Ovis aries: one gene and its partners. The protein of the gene in region 1 interacts with the protein of each later gene in a pairwise test. Links are inferred from orthologs where the notes say so. Each region holds a gene or a part of one and is shown on either strand. Other genes may lie near its edges. The genes, in order: DUSP12, EIF5 and serine/threonine-protein phosphatase 2A regulatory subunit B'' subunit beta.

Region 1 (7,558 bases):
TGAATTACACACTAAAAATAGTTAAAATGGTAAATTTATGTTATGACTATTTTACCATAATTTTAAAAAACCATGTTCATAATATATGTATGTTAGGCCACTTGTGCTGTACACCTTCAACTTATTTTTTTTTTTACATCTTCAACTTACACAATGCTGTATATCAATTATATCTCAATAAACTGAAAAAAAAAAACTGTGTATCTCAAAGCTGAGATAAGCAACAGACTGGAGGAAACACCTGCATTATGTGTAACACTAGACTACAGAAACAGCTCCTGAATTCCTTAGAAAAAGACAAAACCCATGGAAATGCACCAAGAAGATGAAGGAAATTTCCTGCAAAACAAAGTATAAATGCCTGATAAGTAGATAAAGATGTTGGTCTCAGCAGTAGTCATAGAGATTCAAATTAAGACACCTTAGGATTAATGAATTTTATCTCATCGACAGGCAAAACCTTACTGATTTTATAATATCCATACGCCAAACGTATGCGGAAATGAGTAAATGCATTCAACGCTAGTGAAAGGCAAATTTGTGTGGGCACTGTTAAGGTCAGCCCAGAATATTAGTAATATTTAAAAATGTACACTCTTCAAGCCAGGAATTCCACTTTTAGGTATATATTCTATACGAAAATAAATTTACAAATAAGTATGCACATATGTGACCTAGAATATTTCACAAAAAAATAAAATAAATGCCTTTATCTTGGGTGCTTCCCAGATTAAATAAAAGCAGCAAGGGAATTCTCTGGGCATCCAATGGTTAAGACTCCACGCTTTCACTGCTGAGGGCCAGGGTTCAATCCCTGGTCAGCAAACCAGGATCCCACAAACCACAAGAGGCAACCAAGATAAATAAAAACAGCAGGGCAAAAACATAAGCCACAAAAGAAAAAACAGATAAAGTGGACTTCAACAGATAGTATCAAGAGTAGGAACTGACTTCTGTACAAGGTTTATTTGGTAGCGATAAAAATGGTGACAGATTCTAAAACCTGTGAACATACTAAAAACCACTGAACTGTACACTTTCCATGGGTGAATTATATGGCAAGTGAATTATATCTCAATAAACCAGCAGCATCTGAAAACATGGGTTTGAATATAGGGTACCCCCTTCTAGGCAAGACATTAACTAATGTAGATTAAGTTTCCTCCTATATAAAATGTGAATATATATATCTGTTCCGTTTTATAAAATTATTGTATTCTTCAAATGAAATAGTGAGAGTTTCCTAAAAACTCACTATACAAACTTAGATAATCTTTAAACATCATTACATCTTAGATTAGGAATATCTTTACATTAATATCAAGTAAACCTAAAAGAGTTGTAGCTGTCACAGGATGCTCATATGAGCTGCATTCTTTAGAATTAGTAAGAAATGAAAAAGAATCTCGTAACAAACGTATAAAACTAAAAGAATCAAGAAAACAGAGATACAAAGAGCCAAAGGAGAAAAAAGGAAGATTAAGAAGAAATTTTAAATCTAATTTTAAAATCCATGATTTTCTCTACTTCTTACAAAGCTCAAGTTTTGCTAAATATTTTCTAATTTGTCTTAATTTAAAAAAATATAAACAATAGACTTAAAAGGAATTAACTGAGACCAAAAGCTCTCAACCAAAAAATGGATCATTATTTTAGATCACTTGGTTTTTATTTATCTTTGATAGAATCTTGCCTATACTACAAAGATATAATCTTTAGAAAGAAAGCAGTTAAGATGGAGTAAAACACTAGTTAAAGTATGGTTTAAAATGAAAGAAGGAACAAAACACAGATGACATAATAAAACTAAAGAAAGTAAAATGTGTTCTCACCTGTCCATCCATCACTCCCAACAAAGTGGATTCCATCCACTGTACAGGTTCAATGAAGTAAGATGTACACTGAGCCTGACTCCCGGTGGAAAGCACGGGGGATGCTGTCATCCTCTTGTGGGCAAAGGCTGTAGGACCACTTCCTTCATTATGATCCAAAATGCTAGAACTTCTAAATAAAGATCGCCTGCAACTCCCAAACAAACAAAAACATTAATGATTTCCAAAAGGATGGAAAAATAGATTAAAAGTGCACTACTTCTTAGACAGCAAGTTAATGTAACAATGATTATACTGTTTTAATTTTTGATAATCTCTACAAGTAACCAGGTAACTTTTAAGCATTCATATTCTTCTTGAAACCAGATCTGAATATGAAATTTCTGTATTATTCCATTAAACAAATTCTTCCTACAAGATTTTAAGAAACTGAAACTTTCAGTACTTTTCTACTGAGACAAAGTAAAATCTCCAGAGGATACAAAATATTTTACCTGCACTTTCTACATTTGTAGAGACCCCCATCTTTCAATCCTTGTGAAATGGCAGATGGGTCAACAGCAAAGAGTTCTTGAGGTAAGTTCTGCAATTCTACGTAACATAAAATGTATCCATTTGTCAAAATCAACTCTGCATTTTCAGACAAAATTCAGTTTGTGTCAAATTGAGGCAAGTTGCTCAGTGGTAAAGAATCCACATGCCAATACAGAAGACGCAGGTTCGATCCATAGGTTGGGAAGATCCCCGGAAGAAGGAAATGGCAACCCACTCCAGTATCCTTGCCTGGGAAATCCCATGGACAGAGGAGCCAGTCCATGGGGTCACAAGAGAATCAGACACAACTTAGCAACTAAACAACAAAATGCTAATCTCAGAAATTAAAAAAAGTCTCCCCTGTTGAGCAATGAGGACGAGGTGGGAGAGCACAGCAATGCAGCCCTTGGCTTCCAGGCACAGACTGCCTGACTTCAAATTAGAGCCAGCCATTTACAAACCACGTGACCCTGAACAACCTATTTCTTGCTAAACCGTGGTTTCAAAATGAAATAAAAGTACCTGCTTCAAAAGTGAAATAATGCACCTGAAGCATCTAGCGTCAGAGTAAACTACATCTAGAAAAGACTGAATGTGCTGTGCTTAGTTGCTCAGTTGTGTCTGACTCTTGGCAACCCCATGGACTATACAGCCCACCAGGCTCCTCAGTCCATGGGATTTCCAAAAGCAAGAATACTGGAGTAGGTTGTGATGACCTCCTCCAGGGGATCTTCCCAACCCAGGGATGGAATCCAGGTCTACCACATTGCGGGCGGATCCTTTACCCAGGCTGAGCCACCAGGGACACCCACAAAGGACTGAATACATACTGCCAATTATTACTTACCTGGATACTTCTCTGTAACCTTTTGTAAACGATATTGTTTATAAACTGCACTGGAGGTATCTACTTCACAGCCCATTGCCTGGTATAATTTCAGTTGCCACTCAAACCCCTCATTCATCCTGTAAGGGCAAACAGATACAGAGTTAAATTTTCTTTAAATAAAACTGCATCACAAAAGCAGAATTATTACTGTAACAAGTAACTCACTTGGCCTCTGGCTTGACAGACTTAAGGTTTTCATAGGCTTTTTCAAAGGTAAGCTGGTCAGTCTTCATTATAAAAGCGGTTATGACAGTCACACTTCGACTGACCCCTGCATGACTGAAAAAGAAACCTTTAAAATATCAAACAGCAACAATTACAAAAACAAAAAAACCCACCCCCTATAAATGGTAAAGTTTGGGGTCCACTTCTCGTCTGCTTCTTCTAGTCAAGTAAATCCTTTGCCTCTGAAATACTACTGCTGTACAAAAGAAGTATTCCTTTATTTCCTTATTCATTTTTAATTCTGTACCATGTGAATGCATTACCTACTGAAAAATAATTACACTAATTTTTTAACATCTTATAATGGCTTCAGAACAAATCTAAACTCTTTTGCTCTTGGTTTTAAAGGCCCTGGAGATCTGGTCCCAAACTTCTATTTTATCACTACCTTATGTTCTTTATGTAATATTTATAACAAAGGCTGGCTATAAAATTGCTGACTCAGTAAGCGTAAACTTGTAATTACACTCTTTCTGCCACTGCTACGTACTAATCAAATTTTCTCTCCCCAAATCTCCCCTACATCGGCCACGCCTGCCTCAAACAAAAACAATGAAAACAGCCTGTTCTCCCTCTGAAGTTTGAATAACCTTAACCTCTATTACAATAATCTCTCTTACTACACACCTCGCATCCTAGTCTGCATTTCCTCAGTATGTGTCTGGCTACTCGAGAAGAGATTTAAACTCTTTAGATGTAGAGACTTAGTCATTTATCTGAAGATTCCTCCTACCCTCGAAAACTCAGCGGCTGCAGAATGAACCAACACAAACAAAATGAATGAAAAGCCTGCGCGTCGTCAAGGGACCGTGTCCTGCCCACTCCTCTCTCTGACACAAGCCTACGCAAGAGGGTGGAGGTCCTAGCGGCCCGACAGCCCTGTGGTCCTCTTCTGGGCCCTGGGAGGGAAAGGGTGAGGTGGGCCAGGGTAGAAGCGTGGCGGGTCGCTCTCCCCACGGACCCGACCACTCACCAGTGCACCAGCACCGCGCGGCCCTCGGCGCGAGCCTGGACGATGAAGGCCACACAGCGGTCCAGATGACTGAGCAGGTCGGTCTCGGGTCTGTCCAGCGCTGGCACGAAGAGACTCCGTAGACCCTCGACCCCAGCCCCCGTTTTGAAGTTAGGCTCCTCCGAGTCCACCGTCAGCACTGCCGTGACGCCCGCCTCCCTCAGGTGGTCTGGCTCCGCGACGGCCGCGGCTCCACCCAAGAACAGCCCCGGACGCACTTCCAGCATGTTCCTGGCAGAACCGGCCCGGCTCTGGCCGCTGATCTGGTGCTCGCAGCCATGGCTCCCGTCCTGCGCCTCCAACATGGCGGCGCCCGGAGGCCGGGCTGCGGCGGGCCCTACCACCGAGTAGGCAATCGGCTAGAACGTCCTTATTGTCGGACCAGCCGGTCTGAGTTGCGCCGCTCCTGCCTCGGAGGATTTCGTCGACCGCAGGAACGCGGATTTACTGGGGAAGGTGACGGGGCTTCGGCCTGGGCGGAGCTAAACCCCATTCCACCGGCTTCCTATCGCTGACGCAAGCACCTACAGGGTTTGTCAGGCTCTTAGTGTTGAGATTTTACTACATTTCTGCGGAAGCAGAAAATTGATTCAAGTTGAAATGATGGTGCCACCAACTGAATCAGTACCATAGTCTTATACATTTGAAATACAACACTTTTACAGTACGTATGAAACCATTTGTTTGTAGTTCTCTAGTGACTTTTTACTTTTTTTTCTTTTTGCACCCCCCCTTTTTTTTTATTGGTATGTGACTTCTTGTTGGTGTATATTATTCTGTATATTTGAAAATATTGATCCCATGGTTTTGTGCCAGTGCACTCAAAGACCACCAAGAATCCAAGTGTAGTTTTAAATAAATTGAGTTTATTACTCAATCATGAACTGTATAATTTTGGGAAATGCAGGTCTTAAGACAATGTTTACTTCAGTCGCTCAGCCATGTCCAGCTCTTTGCGACCCCATGAATTGCAGCACGCCAGGCCTCCCTGTCTATCACCAACTCCTGGAGTTCACTCAAACTCATGTCCATTGAGTCGTTGATGCCATCCAGCCATCTCATCCTCTGTCGTCCCCTTCTCCTACCCGCAATCCCTCCCAGCATCAGAGTCTTTTCCAATGAGTCAACTCTTCGCGTGAGGTGGCCAAAATACTGGCGTTTCAGCTTTAGCATCAATCCTTCCAATGAACACCCAGGACTGATCTCCTTTAGAATGGACTGGTTGGATCTCCTTGCAGTCCAAGGGACTCTCAAGAGTCTTCTCCAACACCACAGTTCAAAAGCATCAATTCTTCAGCACTCAGCTTTCTACACAGTCCAACTCTCACATCCATACATGACCAGTGGAAAAACTATAGCCTTGACTAGACGGACCTTTGTTGACAAAGTAATGTCTCTGCTTTTGAATATACTATCTGGGTTGGTCATAACTTTTCTTCCAAGCAGTAAGCGTCTTTTAATTTCATGGCTGCAATCACCATCTGCAGTGATTTTGGAGCCCAAAAAAATGAAGTCTGACACTGTTTCCACTGTTTCCCCATCTATTTCCCATGAAGTAATGGGACCAGATGCCGTGATCTTCGTTTTCTGAATGTTGAGCTTTAAGCCAACTTTTTTCACTCTCCTCTTTCACTTTCATCAAGAGGCTTTTTAGGTCCTCTTCACTTTCTGCCATAAGGGTGGTGTCATCTGCATATCTGAGGTTATTGATATTTCTCCCAGAGATATTGATTCCAGCTTGTGATTCTTCCAGCCCAGCGTTTCTCATGATGTACTCTGAATATAAGTTAAATAAGCAGGGTGACAATATACAGCCTTGACGTACTCCTTTTCCTATTTGGAACCAGTCTGTTGTTCCGTGTCCAGTTCTAACTGTTGCTTCCTGACCTCCATACAGGTTTCTCAAGAGGTCAGGTGGTTCCCATCTCTTTCAGAATTTTCCACAGTTTATTGTGATCCACATAGTTAAAGACTTTGGCATAGTCAATAAAGCAGAAATAGATGTTTTTCTGGAACTCTCTTGCTTTTTCCATGATCAGCGGATGTTGGCAGTTTGATCTCTGGTTCCTCTGCCTTTTCTAAAACCAGCTTGAACATCTGGAAGTTCACGGTTCACATATTGCTGAAGCCTGGCTTGGAGAATTTTGAGCATTACTTTACTAGCGTGTGAGATGAGTGCAATTGTGCGGTAGTTTGGGCATTCTTTGTCATTGCTTTTCTTTGGGATTGGAATGAAAACTGACCTTCTCCAGTCCTGTGGTCCCTGCTGAGTTTTCCAAATTTGCTGGCATATTGAGTGCAGCATTTTCACAGCATCATCTTTCAGGATTTGAAATAGTTCAACTGGAATTCCATCACTTCCACTAGCTTTGTTCATAGTGATGCTTTCAGAGGCCCACTTGACTTCACATTCCAGGATGTCTGGCTTTAGGTGAGTGATCTCACCATTGTGATTATCTTGGTCGTGAAGATCTTTTTTGTACAGTTCTTCTGTGTATTCTTGCCACCTCTTCTTAGTATCTTCTGCTTCTGTTACGTCCATACCATTTCTGTCCTTTATTGAGCCCATCTTTGCATGAAATATTTCCTTGATATCTCTAATTTTCTTGAAGAGATCTCTAGTCTTTCCCATTCTGTTGTTTTTCCCCTATTTCTTTGCCTTGATTGCTGAGGAAGGCTTTCTTATCTCTCCTTGCTATTCTTTGGAACTCTGCATTCAGATGCTTATATCTTTCCTTTTCTCCTTTGCTTTTCGCTTCTCTTCTTTTCACAGCTATTTGTAAGGTCTCCCCAGACAGCCATTTTGCTTTTTTGCATTTCTTTTCCATGGAGATGGTCTTGATCCCTATCTCCTGTACAATGTCACGAACCTCCGTCCATAGTTCATCAGGCACTCTATCTATCAGATCTAGTCCCATAAATCTATTTCTCACTTCCACTGTATAATCATAAGGGATTTGATAATCATAAAAGAATCATAAGAGAATGTTAGGAAGATCCTATTACAGGATTTTGGGCTTCCCAAGGGGCACCAGTGGTAAAGAACCCGCCTGCCAATGCACCGAG
Region 2 (7,484 bases), on another chromosome or scaffold:
GTCAGGAAGCAGAATGGGAACCCAGAGTCTCAGCAGGAAAGCCAGCTGCAGGGCACCCCGTGAGCAAGTGCTGTGCCCACTGCCACTAAAATCTCTGAGGAGAAGGTCCAGTTCAGTACACACACACCTTGCTTCCCTGAAGAAAGAACCCGAGGTGACCAGAAGCCACCAATGTGGTCACTGTCCCATCCGGAGATGTTGTGTGTGACTGGGACAACCAATCCAAGGGCAGGGCCTGCCTTCCAAGTCGCCCATATTTCCCCGTCATCTACTGACTCGATGCCACTTTGCACTTTTCCTTTTCTTCCCAGAAGTGACACAGGATAGACTCTGGTCAGACTATCAGTCTCCAGTGACAGCTGGCCTGGATACCTCCTCTTCCCCTCAAACGCACCTGTCCTCTTCCCCAACTGAAGGTCCCTAGTCCTCAGCCAAAGTCCAGATTCCGTGTTTCTCAAGGAGAACCGTCCTGTCCACAAGTTACTTACCCTAAGGAAGAAGAGGGACAAGTGAACAGGCAACCGGAATAAAGTGCCGTGAATGCCAGAGGTTTGGGGTGGGAGTGGGGCCAGTCACAAAGGCAGGGAGACATCCTTGCCCAGAAGGTCGGTGAATCCACGGAGCGGGGTAAGCTTCACTTGGGTACCCACCAGGAAGGTATTAACCCCAACTTGTTGACATGTGGTCTCCCTTGGCAGGGCCTGAGATGTAGGCAGGGCCTTCATCCTCTCTGCCTAGTAACCCAGGAATGTTTGCTGACATGGGTGCATTAGATTAACATGGCTTAGGACGCTAGCCCTCAACACAGCCAACGCCCCGCACTACCTCTGTACTCCCCAGATAACCTTGTTTCCTCCAGCAGCTTCGAATGTCTGCCTGCATACATTTAGACTTGAGCTAGAAAAAGAATAATGCATAACCCTGTAGCCCATCCTCAAGGAGGGAAGGCAGGAGCTTAAGTCACTACGAATGCACAGCTTTAAGAGTATGCTAGAAGGTAGAGACAGCTGAGAGAGGCATGTCTTAGAGGGAGGCCCATCACAGAGGGCAATGCCTTGATCCCTTCAGTGGCCCTCAGCTCAGAAGCACAAGGTTCCCAGGGCACACAGACTTGGTCTTGCTTAAGTCATGCCAAACAGATTCACAGACACCAATTACTAAACAATCATAAGGCCAAGTTAATAATTTACCTTTTCAGTAGCTAATCATGTTTGCCCAGGACATTACCTGAAATGCATAGTTCAGGCACACATTCGACAGGGATTTCATAGCACCAAGTACCCTTATTTAGTAAACTGTGAGTACCTGGTTGGGGGAAAGAATGCAGCCAAATGAGGCGGAGACCCAGAAGCGGGAGATGGAATTGTGCAATGAGCTTGGCGTCAAGCTGGAGTTCAAACACTGCACTATTTACTAGACAGGTGACTTGAGGAAACTTAATCTTCCTGAGTCTCTTTGCTCATCTGTAAAATGGGCATAACAACACTTCCTCATGTGAATGTTATGGAATTAAATGAGGTTACACATGCATAACTAGGGTTACACATCCTACATTTCTCTATGGTTATATTCATCTGGAAAGGCTGTGTGGTATGATGGTTAAGAGAACAGACCCTGGGAGCAGAGAGATCTGATTCTAGCTCTACCACTTAGTAATATATCTAGGGCAAGCTGCTTTTTTCCAGTAAGCTTCAGTTTGCTCATTTGTAAAATGGGAATAAAGATTCCTCAGAGGCAAAGAAGTAAGTGAAATAGTGTATTCAAAGGACTTAGAAAATTCTAGGTTATGAAAAACATTCAACAAATGGTATGTTTGAGATTTTTAAAAATTGTCCATGATTAGATACAATGAATAACACATGTACTAAAAATTAAAATTAGTACTAACTTCAATGAAATTAAATGCAGGGCCATCAAACATGATCCAAAAAGTTATCACTTTGTATTTAGTTATTAGAAAACTTTTTGAGGAAGCAGGCCTCTAGCCTCAGACTAGTTTCATGCTCATAAACTAGTTTCTAAAATAATGTCATTTGTGTGCAGTCATGCAAAACTCAAAGTTTCAATACTGCTAAGTCATGCCTCAGCGTGAACCAGAGAAGCAGGTCTGGATCTATCTTTCCAGTTTGTGTGACCGGAATCCTGGTATCCATAAAGCATTATGCATTTGGTTTAACATCGTGTGATTGTAATAAAAGCCCCTGCAGCAAGGGACAGATCACTTCTCTCAATTCCGGATCATCCATTTTATTTACTCTCTCCCTTTTATTTATTCTTCCCACTGACCCTGTCGGGTTCTAAATGATTTATAAAGCTTATAAACCCTTGCAAGAGCAATCTTGAACTTTGATTTTAAAAATCAACATTTTTTAATCCTAACCTTGCAAATTTGAATGGTGTAAATCAAAGGTCGGCCCCTTATCCACTCACCCTGTCCTCAGCAACACTGCTACTTCATCCAGATCCGGGAAACCACACAGCTGCCCAGGACACTGCTCCAACCGCTCGGTTATTTGGCTCTTACTCTATTATAATGAAGTATGTTTCCACATTTCAAGGTGGACTCTGCATTTTTACAGTCGCAACCGAAATTTTACACAAAATAAAAGTATCTGAAAGAATGAGAATGTTTCTGTAATCACCAAAACTAAAATTTGAGCAGCTCTGGTAAACTGTAATCATTTGCAAGTGAATACACTGGACCTGGAACCTCATTAGTACACCCACTTTGGTCTCTGCTTTCCCAGCAAGGAGGTCACAATTCGGAAACACTGGGAGGGAGGTGGGGGCAATGATTCCACGAACGGTAAGGTGATGCGAGGCTTATTTTGAGCAGTGTTGGTAGAGCACGAGAACATGGAGACATTCCCCACGCCAACATCACTTCCAGGAGGTCCAGGGGTTAAGAATTACTTTCGTGTTTTCCTCTTTAGAAAACATGTGGACAATAGACACCAGTCAAGCTTGGCCTGCAGAGCGGGCGCCGGGGAAGGGGCGAGGCGGACGGCTGAATCACGATCGCCGCGACCACGCACACCTGAGCTTCGGAGGATAAAAGGCGGCACGTGGGACGAAAGACGCAGACCCTCTAAGCTTCGCCCTCTGCCCAGGCCTAGGGAATTGTGGAAGAAAACCAACTTCTTTCTCAAGACTGGAGGACGAGGGTCACCGGAAAAGAAGGGACAGAGAGGAAGCCCCGAGAGTTCCCGCACCCGTCTCGGGAACACCTGAGGGAACGCGGCCTCGGGAGCCGCGACGCAGCCAGCGGGGGAGGGGAAGGACCAACCGCCATCTTCCCCGGCGCCCAAACCGACAAAGCGCAGTGTAGCGGCGGACCTCTGCCGCCGAGGCCCGCCCACTCTCGCGAGACCGCGAAGGCCTCTGGGAAAAGCGGGGGAAGGGAGAGCGAGAGAAGGAAGCCGGAACGCGGGGCTGGGGGCGGGCGGAGGCGGCGAGTGGAGCCTCAGGAAGCAGAAAGGGCGGGGAAAAACGCGACAGACGCGGCATGCAGGCCAATGACGAGCGAGCTCGGGCGAACCGCCAGCCAATGGGCTGTGCGGCTTGGCGCGGGGGGCGGGCGCTGGGGCCGAGGGTAGCTTGAGCGCGGCGGCGGCGTTGTTCAGTCAGAGCGAGAACATTCCAGAGGTGAGTCCGGTGGAGGGGCGGTAGCCCCGCGCCCCCTCCCCCGTCTTCCCCGCCCCCTCGACCCCCGCGGGCCGCTGGCTGGCGGGGAAGGCGCCCCGACGCCCGCAGCTCACTGCGCCGTCTCTCCGCGCCAGGTCGCCAGGCCCCGGGCGCTGAAGGGTGTGGACCCCGGACGTCGCTGGGACAGCCCCTCCCCGCTGCTCGGCGGCGCCTGGCCCGGCCGCTGCTCGCTGCGCTGCCTCCGCCGCCTCCGCCGCCGCTCCTCGGACTCGGGTTCGCGCGCCTCACTTCATCCCAGTCCCGGGCGAGCAGCGTTGGGTTTATGTCTTTATTTGACGAAAACGGTGAGTCGGCGAGCGGGCGGGCTCGGGCCGGTGGGGAGATGGCGGCCGCACAAGATGGCGGCGCGCCGCGTGACCCGCGCGCGCGCGTGAGTGTTTGTGAGCGCGCGCGCGCGTGTGTGTGAGTGTGTGGCGCAGTTCGGGCGGGCGGCGGGGCCGGCCTCCGCGTCCCCTCCTCGCCGCACCCGCCTCTCCTCCGCCCCCACCGCGGCCTCCCGGGAGCGCGCCGCGCGGCCCCGCCGCCGCCCGGGGCTGACTCAGGCCTAATTGCTGCATTTATGAGTCATCGCCGCGGCGGGGCGGGGCGGGGCCGGCGCCCCTCGGCCGGTTTCGCTTCCCCCGGCGGAGCGGCGGCCCTGCGTCGGCGGAGGGCGCCCCGGGCGGCGCAAAGGCGGAGCTGCCGTGGGAGCTGGCGATGTCGCCGCCGGCGCCGCGCCCGCCTTGCGGGTGCCGCCGGGTCAGCCCTGACAGCTGGGGGCCGGCGCGAAGGTGGCCGGGTGTTTGCATAGAGAAGGGGAAGGGGTCCACCCTCCGCGCGCGCCAGTCGGGCAAGATCGTGCTCCGCGGGCGTAGTTAACGGAAGTGTGGTTCTGAAGTAAGCGCTTGCAGCCAAAGGCTTCGACCTCGAAGATCAACTCCACAGCCTGCCGTCTTGAAGTGATGTTGATGTGTCTGAGAAGTTTGTGGGTACCACAGTCTGGGTTGGTCCTTCTGTTAAAATACGGCCAACCCACGGAAGCAAGCCGTCGACGTGATGACTGGTTTGATGAAAAGCTGATGCAGCGTAATTTGTCCTGTTTCAGTCAGGCATCGACCAAAAAAAAGGTCGCATCTTCGTCAAAATGAAGGCTTTTTGTTGCTGCACGTGTCCCGTGTTACGTGAGACTAGTAGCTGTTCTTTGTACATAAACTCATGTTTTTAACGTAGGGGAAGTAGGCGTAATTATACAGAGCGGACAGGGAGGGATTTCGTTGCAGGAGTTGTTAAACGTGGGGGTTGGTTTGTTTTCTCTTCCAGAGCTGTTGCGCAGCCACTGGCACCTGTATTGGGGAAACATAGCATACAAGCAAGAAGCTTACAGCCTCAGCGGCGAAAAATTTTTCATGTCAGAGACCGAGAACTCTTGCAGTCGTTTATGTCATCCCTTCTTCTCCAGACAGAGGATACCAAAAAATTGCAATCAAAGATCTCTTCATCTTATTGATAAAGTCACTAATAAGCCAAAATGTCTGTCAACGTCAACCGCAGCGTGTCAGACCAGTTCTATCGCTACAAGATGCCCCGTCTGATTGCCAAGGTAATACTAAATCTTCATTTTAGTAACAAGTTCTAAGCTTTTTTCATGGATTATTAAAGGTTACTTCTCCCCCAGTGTGGACAATGCAAAAATTAAACTTTTTACTTCCTTTAGGTTGAGGGCAAAGGAAATGGAATCAAGACAGTTATAGTCAACATGGTTGACGTAGCGAAAGCGCTTAATCGGCCTCCAACGTGTAAGTAATGCTTCTTGAAAGGAATCTGAGAAGGCATTTTATTGACATAATTGTGATGCTCTCTGGTCTGCAAATCTTGCCTGAATTGAGTTAGCTTTTGAGTTAAATGGAAACTTGGATTTAAAACTGATTGATAGCATTAGTTAGTATATAAAATTACCAGGGCAACACTTTCTTAATCTTGTCCATTTAAAAACTGATAGATTCATGTCGATGTATCGCAAAACCAATACAGTATTGTAAAGTGAAACAAGTTAAAAAAATAAAAATTAAAAAGAGTAATAATTCTATAAATGAGAGTGAGGAGCTAAAGAATCCTAGAGTAGGAAATGGCAACCCACTGTAGTATTCTTGCCTAGGAAATCCCATGGACAGAAGACCCTTGGAGGGTACAGTCCATGGGGTCAAAAAAAGTCGGGCATGACTTGAGTGACTTAGCACTCATCCAGAGATGAGTTAATTGTAATAAATTAAAATTTTTTCCCCCCAAATAGATCCCACCAAATATTTTGGTTGTGAGCTGGGAGCACAGACCCAGTTTGATGTTAAGAATGACCGTTACATTGTCAATGGATCTCATGAGGCGAATAAGCTGCAAGACATGTTGGATGGATTCATTAAAAAATTTGTTCTCTGTCCTGAGTGTGAGAATCCTGAAACAGATCTGGTGAGTGCCTTTGAGGTTCTTGTCAGTAGGAGAAAAAGTGTATTTATTTCTGTGATGTCACCAAATCATGTTTCCAAGAAGGCAGAGTAGACTTACGTAAATTGCAAAACCTCAAATTTTACAGATGCTTCCATACTGACCTTATGTTTAAAAAAATTCTTTTGATGTTAAACTGGTGTTTAGGTGGCTTTTGATGGTTAGTTTCACACTGTTTTTGAATTTTCATCATGTGTTAATGGGTGACATATTTTTACTTTTTTGACAGCATGTCAATCCAAAGAAGCAAACAATAGGTAATTCTTGTAAAGCCTGTGGCTATCGAGGCATGCTTGACACACATCATAAACTCTGCACATTCATTCTCAAAAACCCACCTGGTAAGTGCGTGTGATGAACTTCTAAAACCTTGACATAAAGCAACTGATTGTTGAAAACAGTGGAAGTGTCTTTACCGCTATATAGAATAAGGTTAATCCTTGAACACCTGTGCAGGTGAAAGTTTGCTTATAATAAGGTCAGCCCTGTGTATACAAGGATCAACCAACCAACAGTGAATAGTGTAGTACTGTAGTATGTAATTATTGGGGGGTGGGGAACTCCATGTAAATGGATCGGTGTGGTTTCAGCTTAACATTCAAAAGTCAGCTGTTTGATGAACCTGCTGTTGTATGTACTATTAAAGGTCAAGTACAGGCTACCATTAAACTCAACCATATCCTCAATTTTTAAGACGTTTTAGGATGTATGAAATATTGGACAAATTGTGATGGGGTCATAGTAAAGATCTACTTCTGGAATTGTTCAGTTGCTAAGTTGAGTCGGACTCTTTGCAACCCCATGGATTGCTTCTGGAATACTCATTTGTACATGAGGGCCTTGGCTCAGTAGGCCAGAGTGGCTTTAGAGCATGCAAGCAACACTCTGTGGCAGATAAATCAAAATTGTCTGACACAATTTGAGCTTGCTATAGCAAAAAAGTCTAACCTATTCCGGTGTTCTCTTTTCTGTGAGACTAGCCGTTACATAGACTTGAACACAGTTCTAGTTTTTGGCTGAAGCATAGTTGAGAATACCCTTGTTGATCAGTTTATGAGGAGTGGAAAGAGAGGGTCATGAGTGCCAACTTTCAAGTACTTGTGTGGTCTGTTTTTCATTGTTGAGTTGCTACATGGCATCCAACTCTTAATTTTACTAAAACAGCTAATACCTCTGATATTTACTGGCTTTTCTTTCTTAGACTCAGTTGCCTACCTATGAAACATAGTGGATGAATTTGATTTATGAACCCTTTTAGAATTATAGGTAGCATTTTCTGTGGCTTTCTGAGGGCAGGGTTT
Region 3 (6,772 bases), on another chromosome or scaffold:
TTGCGACCCTGTGGACCGCAGCACGCCAGGCCTCCCTGTCCATCACCATCTCCTGGAGTTTATCCAAACCCATGTCCATCGAGTTGGTGATGCCGTCCAGCCATCTCATCCTCTGTCGTCCCCGTCTCCTCCTGCCCTCAATCTTTCCCAGCATCAGGGTCTTTTCCAGTGAGTCAGCTCTTCGCGTCAGGTGGCCACGGTATTGGAGTTTTAGCTTCAGCATCAGTCCCTCCAGTGACTATTCTGGGTTGATTTCCTTGAGGATGGACTGGCTGGGTCTCCTCGCAGCCCTAGCAGCACGCACATGCACACACACCGACACACACAGCCAGGACTGGGAGGCGGTGGGCAGTGTCCAAGGAGGCGTGTGCAGGAAACCCAGGCCCCCAGGGTCCCGCGCAGCCAGACCTGGGTCTCCAGGTTCAGCCTGGAGCCTGCCTGGCCGCGTCCACAGCCGCCGCGTGGGGCACCAGGACCCCCGTGTGGAACTCACGGCCTGACCCCTCTCTTGCAGCTATTTCCACCAAGATGATTGACCGGATCTTCTCCGGAGCCGTGACGCGGTGCGTGCCAGCGGGCTCCCAGCAGGGCTGGGCTGGCTTTCCCGGGCGCATCCAGCCCTGCCTGTCACTCCTGACCAGGGTGGCCGTGTTCTGAGGCACCTGAGGTCGTGCCTTAGGAGCTCGTGTATAGGGTTTTGCCATGTGAGGTCACAGGTAATGGGGACACACGCCATTGTCACAGGAAGTCATGAATAAGAGAGACACGTGTGCCGCTCGTGTAAGGTCGTATGTAAAGGACGCACATGCCTTTGTCATGTGCGGGCGTGTGTAAAGGACACGTGATCATTACACGTGTGATGTCATAAGTTACGGGCACACAAAGCACGCTCTTGCCATGTGACACCGTGCGTGAGGGGGACACAGGGCCTGGGCATGCAGGCTGTGAGGGGCCCTGAGCTGGGCATGTCCTTCTGCCCCCACCCCCGCGCCCCGCCCCCTTGGGCTCTGAGAGGCCTTCTGCGCCCGCACATACTCTCAGGCGCCTCCGGGTGGGGTCCAGTCTGGGACCGGGTCCCTGCAGGGCTCCGGTCACCCCTGCACGTGGGCAGGGACTTGGGCCTCAGGCTGCTCCTCCCTGACGCTGCCGTCGTCTCTTGAATCCAGAGGGAAAAAGGTGCAGAAGGAAGGGAAAATCAGCTACGCGGACTTTGTCTGGTTTCTGATCTCCGAGGAGGACAAGAAGACCCCCACCAGGTGGGTGTCGGGGCCTGCGCTCTGTCCAGGCTGTTGGGACCCTCGCAAGAGGAGCCCAGTGGTTACCCACTGGTGAGGGCGCCCCCCTGCGGCCCATCCCTGTGAGGGCGTCTCGGAGGGGCTCATATGAGGGGGTGGTCCCGGGGGTGGGGTCTGTCCCTCCCTAATCCTGGTGGGAGTGGGTCTGGGTGGACGGCTGTCCTGGTGGACGTGTGACCCTCCCGGCCACAGCCTTGAAGACTGGTCCCAGGGGTGGGGTCACCCTGGTGGGAGCGGGTCTGGGTGGACGACGTCCTGGTGGACGTGTGACCCTCCCGGCCGCAGGATCGAGTACTGGTCCCAGGGGTGGGGTCACCCTGGTGGGAGCGGGTCTGGGTGGACGATGTCCTGGTGGACGTGTGACCCTCCCGGCCGCAGCATCTCGTCACTCTGGTGGTGGGGGTGGATGTGACCCTCCAGCATTGAGCACTGGTTATAGAGGTGGGGTCACCCTGGTCAGAGCAGGTCTGGGTGGACGGCCGTCCCAGTGGACGTGTGACCCTCCTGGCCTCAGCATCGAGGACTGGGCCCGGGGGTGGGGTCACCCTGGTTGGAGCGGGTCTGGGTGGACGTGTGACCCTCCCGGCCGCAGCATTGAGCACTGGTTATAGAGGTGGGGTCACCCTGGTCGGAGTGGGTCTGGGTGGACGGCCGTCCCAGTGGACGTCTGGCCCTCCCGGCCGCAGCATTGAGTACTGGTTCCGCTGCATGGACCTGGACGGGGATGGGGCGCTGTCCATGTTTGAGCTGGAGTACTTCTACGAGGAGCAGTGCCGGCGGCTGGACAGCATGGCCATCGAGGCCCTGCCCTTCGAGGACTGCCTGTGCCAAATGCTGGACCTGGTGAAGCCCCAGACTGAAGGTGCTGTGCGGGGCCGGGCCCTGGGGAGGGGGCGCCCCTGGGAAGTGGGGCCCCAAGGGGGAGGGGGACACCCAGGGTGTGGGGATGCCCTGGGGAATAGGGTTGCCCCTGGAGTGGGGAGCTCCGGGGGGGATGGGGCTCAGCCTGGAGGGGTTCCCCAGGGACGTGGGGGCACCTGTGGGGGACCCCAGCAGCCTGGATGTGGTGGGGTGCTCTGGGAGAGGACACTGGGGGTGGGGATGGGGGCGCTGTCCAGGTTTGAGCTCGGAGTACTTCTCCAGGAGCAGTGACTGAGCACCGTGCACGTGGTCCAGCCTCGTGGCCCCGCCCTTCAGAGCGAGTGCCCTGTGGACATGACGCTGGCCCTCAGCCCCGTGTGACCCCTGGTGTGGAATGGCGCTGCAGCCGGGGCCCCGGGGTGGACATGGGGCCCCGCGGGGGGGGGGGGCCGCCCTCAGGTGGACCCCTGGGGTGGACACGCTTTCAGGCCCTCAGTGTGACCTGGGGTGGACATGACGCCAGCCCCCTCAGTGGGTGACCCCGGGGTGGACATGGCTTTCAGCCCCTCAGGGAGTGACCCCCGGGTGGGGCCCTCAGGGGATGGGGTGGACACCCAGCCCCGCCTCAGGTGTGCCCTGGGGTGGACATGGGGCCCCGCCTCAGGGAGGAGGGTGGACATGGCCAGCCCTCAGCCCTGGAGTGACCCCTGCGGTGGACATGGCGCTCAGCCCCGGGGTGGACATGGGCTCAGCCCTCAGCCTCGCGAGTGACCCCGGGGTGGACATGCCTTTCAGCCCTCAGCCCCCACGTGTGACCCCTGGGGGACATGGCCTTTCAGCCCCTCAGGGTGACCCCGGTGGACATGGGCTTTCAGCCGCCTCAGCCCCGTGTGACCCCGGGGTGGACATGGCAGCCCCGCCCCAGCCCTCAGGAGTGACCCTGGGGTGGACATGTCAGCCCTCAGGTGTGACCCCGGGGTCAGGGCTTTCAGGCCCTCAGTGTGACCCCGGGGTGACATGGCGCACCGTCAGCACGTCCCCGGTGGACATGCGCAGCCCGCCCTCAGCCCTCGCGAGTGACCCCTGGGGTGGACATGACGCTTTCAGCCCCGCCCTCAGCCCCCGCGAGTGACCCCTGGGGTGGACATGACGCTTTCAGCCCCGCCCTCAGCCCTTGCGAGTGACCCCTGGGGTGGACGCCATCCTTGTGGCCCCGCCCTCAGCCCTCGAGTGTGACCGCTGAGTCTGGACTCGACCTTCACAGCCCCGCCCTCACCGCGCGCGTGTGGTGAACTGACGTGGGGACTGAGTGTGCCCCGGGGCTGGGGACGGTTGCCGTGTCCCTCGGCCATGTTCCTCTGCCGTGCTCTGTCATACTCCACCGGGACCCCAGTGTGGGCGGTGCGGGGGCCCCCTGCACAGGGCTGCCCTTCTCAGGCCCGGTGCCGTGGCCCGGGGATTGCGTTGGTTGATCTGGGAGCCAGGGTGCTCGGTGGGTACATCCCAGGGCGCCCGGGATGCCTGCCAAGGTCACAGGAAGTCTCTGCCTCCAAGTGGAACACCTGGGTGTCCTGTGTCCTGGGAGCCCAGTCTCGGGTGTTGCCCTGTGGACTCGTCCTGGGGCCTCGTGCCTGGGCCCTCTTGCCCGGCCCAGGCTTCGTCCGGCTCCGTGTCCGTGGTCTAGGGCAGCTCGGGTCCCACCCTCTGGGTTAGGCGTGCGGACCCCTATATCCCCTGACGAACCTCCAGGGACACACAGGGCTCTGGTCCCCCAGGCACCCGCCAGGCTTTCTCCACACCGGCAGCACTCCTGTGGCCGGGCTGGCGGCAGAGTGCACAGTGCTGTGCCGTAAGGCGTGTGGCTTTGCACACGTGAGTGTGCTCATGACATGCCCATGTGCCCATGAGCTGCCCTGCGTCCAGGAGCCCCACTCCACACGCCAATGAGCTGCCCCAGGGGCCCGTGAGACTCCTCTTCGCCTCCCCCGCGGCTGCCCTGAGCGCTCACGCCCTGCGCCCCCCACCCCACCCACCCACGCTCCTAGCTGTCCCCTGAAGTCCCCTCCGTGCACCCCTACCCACGCGCTCACACCCGGGCCCCTCCCGCAGGGAGGATCACGCTGCAAGACCTGAAGCGCTGCAAGCTGGCCAACGTGTTCTTTGACACCTTCTTTAACATCGAGAAGTATCTGGACCACGAGCAGAAAGAGCAGGCGTCCCTGCTCAGGGTGAGGGAAGGTGACGGGGGAGGCCTGCGGGGGACGTGCGGGGGAGGGGGCGCCGGGCCGCTCCTGGGTGACACCCTACCGTGCTCTGCAGGAGAGTGAGAGCGAGGGGCCCGAGCTGTCCGACTGGGAGCGCTTCGCTGCTGAGGAGTACGACATCCTGGTGGCCGAGGAGGCTGCGGGGGACCCCTGGGAGGACGGGTGAGCGCACGGGGGGCGGAGAACTGGGTCCCGGGAGGAGGGGTGGCCGGGAACGGGGGCAGGGAAAGGGCTGCCAGCTGGGGCAGGGAGGACACCACCCCTGGCTGCCGCTTCTGGGGGAGGGTTTCCAAGGGACTGTGGCCCTGCCGCCGAGGGTGGGGACACTCTGACTCCGAACTGTGCCTGGTTCTGCCCCAGGTGCCCGGCCTTAGCGCCCTGAGTCTGGGAGCTCTTCCTGCTGAGTCAGGCCCTCCCCCAGCCCACGGAGGGTCCCACCAGGGCCCCTGTGAGGCACCTGTCAGGGCCGCATCTATCCTCTGGGGGTGGCACCCGCAGGCCCCCAAGGGGTGCAGATCCCACAGAGGGGGACAGGGTGGGGAGCCAGCTGGGCGGCTAAGCTGCTGAGCACACAGCTGTCCAGTGGGCCCGCTGTCCTGCCCCCGGGTGTCAGGGTGTTGGGTGCACACAGATGCTCAGCGGGCCTGCTGTCCTGCCCCCGGGTGTCAGGGTGTTGGGTGCACACAGATGCTCAGCGGGCCTGCTGTCCTGCCCCCGGGTGTCAGGGTGTTGGGGGGGCACAGCTGCTCAGCGGGCCCGCTGTCCTGCCCCCGGGTGTCAGGGTGTTGGGTGCACACAGCTGCTCAGCGGGCCTGCTGTCCTGCCCCCGGGTGTCAGGGTGATGTGTGCACACAGATGCTCAGTGGGCCCGCTGTCCTGCCCCCAGGTGTCAGGGTGTTGGGTGCACACGGTGGGCGCGGAGGGCGGGCGCTGTCCTCACGGGCCCCTCCCTGCAGATACGAGGCCGAGCTCAGCCCCGTGGAGCAGAAGCTGAGCGCCCTGCGGTCCCCGCTGGCCCAGAGGCCCTTCCTGGAGGCGCCGGGTGGCCTGGGCACCGTCGAGCTGTACGAGTACGAGTGTGGGGGCGACGACCTGCCGCCCTCGTGACCCGCGGCTCCTCGGGGCCCCCGTGGCCCGTGGGTGGGGAACGCGGCCGAGCAGCCGTCGGCCTCACCCAGCGCAGTTCGTCTCTCTGTGGTGCGTGCATCTTTATTTGGCACAGAAGCGGCTGCAGACGGCCCCGCGGTGCCTCTCCAGCAGGCAGGCGGCCTAGGCCCGCTGCCCTGTCCAGGCGCTTGGAGGCCCCCGTCAGCGGACGGTTCACCCCGGTGGGAATCCGGCGGTGCTGTGGTGGGTCTGCCCGGACTGTCCCCGCGCTGACCTTGGGCCGGCTGTGTCGGCAGGAACATTCCAGAAGCCACAGCGCCCGCTGTCCCACAGGGCCCCTGCAGGGATGCCGCCCCGGGCAGGGCCGAGGGAGCACCCAGGTCAGTGCGGCCCAGCATTTCTGTGTACGTGTACAAGATGTGTAAAGTTCCCTTCTATTTGCTGTGCAGAGCGGTGTAGAGTTTTATGAGATCACGTTTGTATTTTGAAATAAAGAATTTAAGGATTTTCAGCCTGAGGCTAACCTTGAGACAAGACAAGACACGGCAGCAGGGGATTCTGAACGCAGGTCACAGATGGACATGGCACGGATGTGGGGGTCCCCGCAGGGAGACTGTGGGGTGTGCAGGGCCCCCCGGACATGGAGCCGCCGGGCACGGGTCACAGGCCGGGGCCCCAGGGCCGTGCAGCCTGCACTCTGGCCACGGCGGTCCCTGCATGGCCCCGGGGCGGCCGGCTCCCCTGCGGTCACTTCTGTGCACGACAGGGTGCGAGCCTCCCCTGCCCACACCGCGCTGTGAGACCAGACGTCTGGCCTCCACGCCGCTCCGCCCACCCCCGGGTCCAGCACTGCTCCGGGCCCCACGGGACAGCATCAACCCGAGATTCCAGGGGAGGGTGGGCTCCCACGTGTCCAGTGGAGGTGGCCGAGGAGCATCCCCCAACCAGGCCTTGGGCAGGTTGTCTCAGGTCCTGGCACCCAGCAGACCTCGCGGAGGGTCCCTCCCTTCTGCAGCTGAGCCCCCGTGCCAGACACAGGCCCTCCTCCCTTCTGCAGCTGAGCCCCCCTGCCGGACACAGGCCCTCCCAGAGTAGGTGGGGCGGCAGGAGCTGGAGTGGGGGTCCCTCACACTAGACCACACGGGCCTGTCTTCCTGGCTGCCCCACCGTCCGGAGGGCGGACTCCACAGCCATGTGGTCCTGGGAGAGTCTCCAGGCGTCCCTGGGAGACGGGCGTGGCCACCA

Evidence for each region.
Region 2: the proteins of DUSP12 (region 1) and EIF5 interact in binary tests that used the Homo sapiens proteins (3 or more experiments, as listed by UniProt). The two-hybrid records come from large-scale screens. The link is inferred for Ovis aries from reciprocal best matches to the Homo sapiens genes DUSP12 and EIF5.
Region 3: the proteins of DUSP12 (region 1) and serine/threonine-protein phosphatase 2A regulatory subunit B'' subunit beta interact in binary tests that used the Homo sapiens proteins (3 or more experiments, as listed by UniProt). The two-hybrid records come from large-scale screens. The link is inferred for Ovis aries from reciprocal best matches to the Homo sapiens genes DUSP12 and PPP2R3B.

Annotation. Positions count from the first base shown.
Region 1 is NC_056054.1:113,139,116-113,146,673, reverse strand, and holds the start of DUSP12 (dual specificity protein phosphatase 12), read right to left. Parts: upstream 4,832-7,558; 5' UTR 4,798-4,831; coding exon 4,454-4,797; intron 3,535-4,453; coding exon 3,421-3,534; intron 3,333-3,420; coding exon 3,214-3,332; intron 2,424-3,213; coding exon 2,327-2,423; intron 2,020-2,326; coding exon 1,833-2,019; intron 1-1,832. UniProt on the Homo sapiens protein: Dual specificity phosphatase; can dephosphorylate both phosphotyrosine and phosphoserine or phosphothreonine residues. Can dephosphorylate glucokinase (in vitro).
Region 2 is NC_056071.1:65,723,624-65,731,107, forward strand, and holds the start of EIF5 (eukaryotic translation initiation factor 5), read left to right. Parts: upstream 1-3,575; 5' UTR 3,576-3,645; intron 3,646-3,779; 5' UTR 3,780-3,989; intron 3,990-5,004; 5' UTR 5,005-5,212; coding exon 5,213-5,284; intron 5,285-5,398; coding exon 5,399-5,480; intron 5,481-5,974; coding exon 5,975-6,147; intron 6,148-6,412; coding exon 6,413-6,524; intron 6,525-7,058; exon of another isoform or gene 7,059-7,185; intron 7,186-7,484.
Region 3 is NC_056080.1:7,320,278-7,327,049, forward strand, and holds the end of serine/threonine-protein phosphatase 2A regulatory subunit B'' subunit beta, read left to right. Parts: intron 1-514; coding exon 515-563; intron 564-1,166; coding exon 1,167-1,256; intron 1,257-1,981; coding exon 1,982-2,157; intron 2,158-4,265; coding exon 4,266-4,384; intron 4,385-4,475; coding exon 4,476-4,582; intron 4,583-5,376; coding exon 5,377-5,527; 3' UTR 5,528-6,038; downstream 6,039-6,772. UniProt on the Homo sapiens protein: The B regulatory subunit might modulate substrate selectivity and catalytic activity, and might also direct the localization of the catalytic enzyme to a particular subcellular compartment.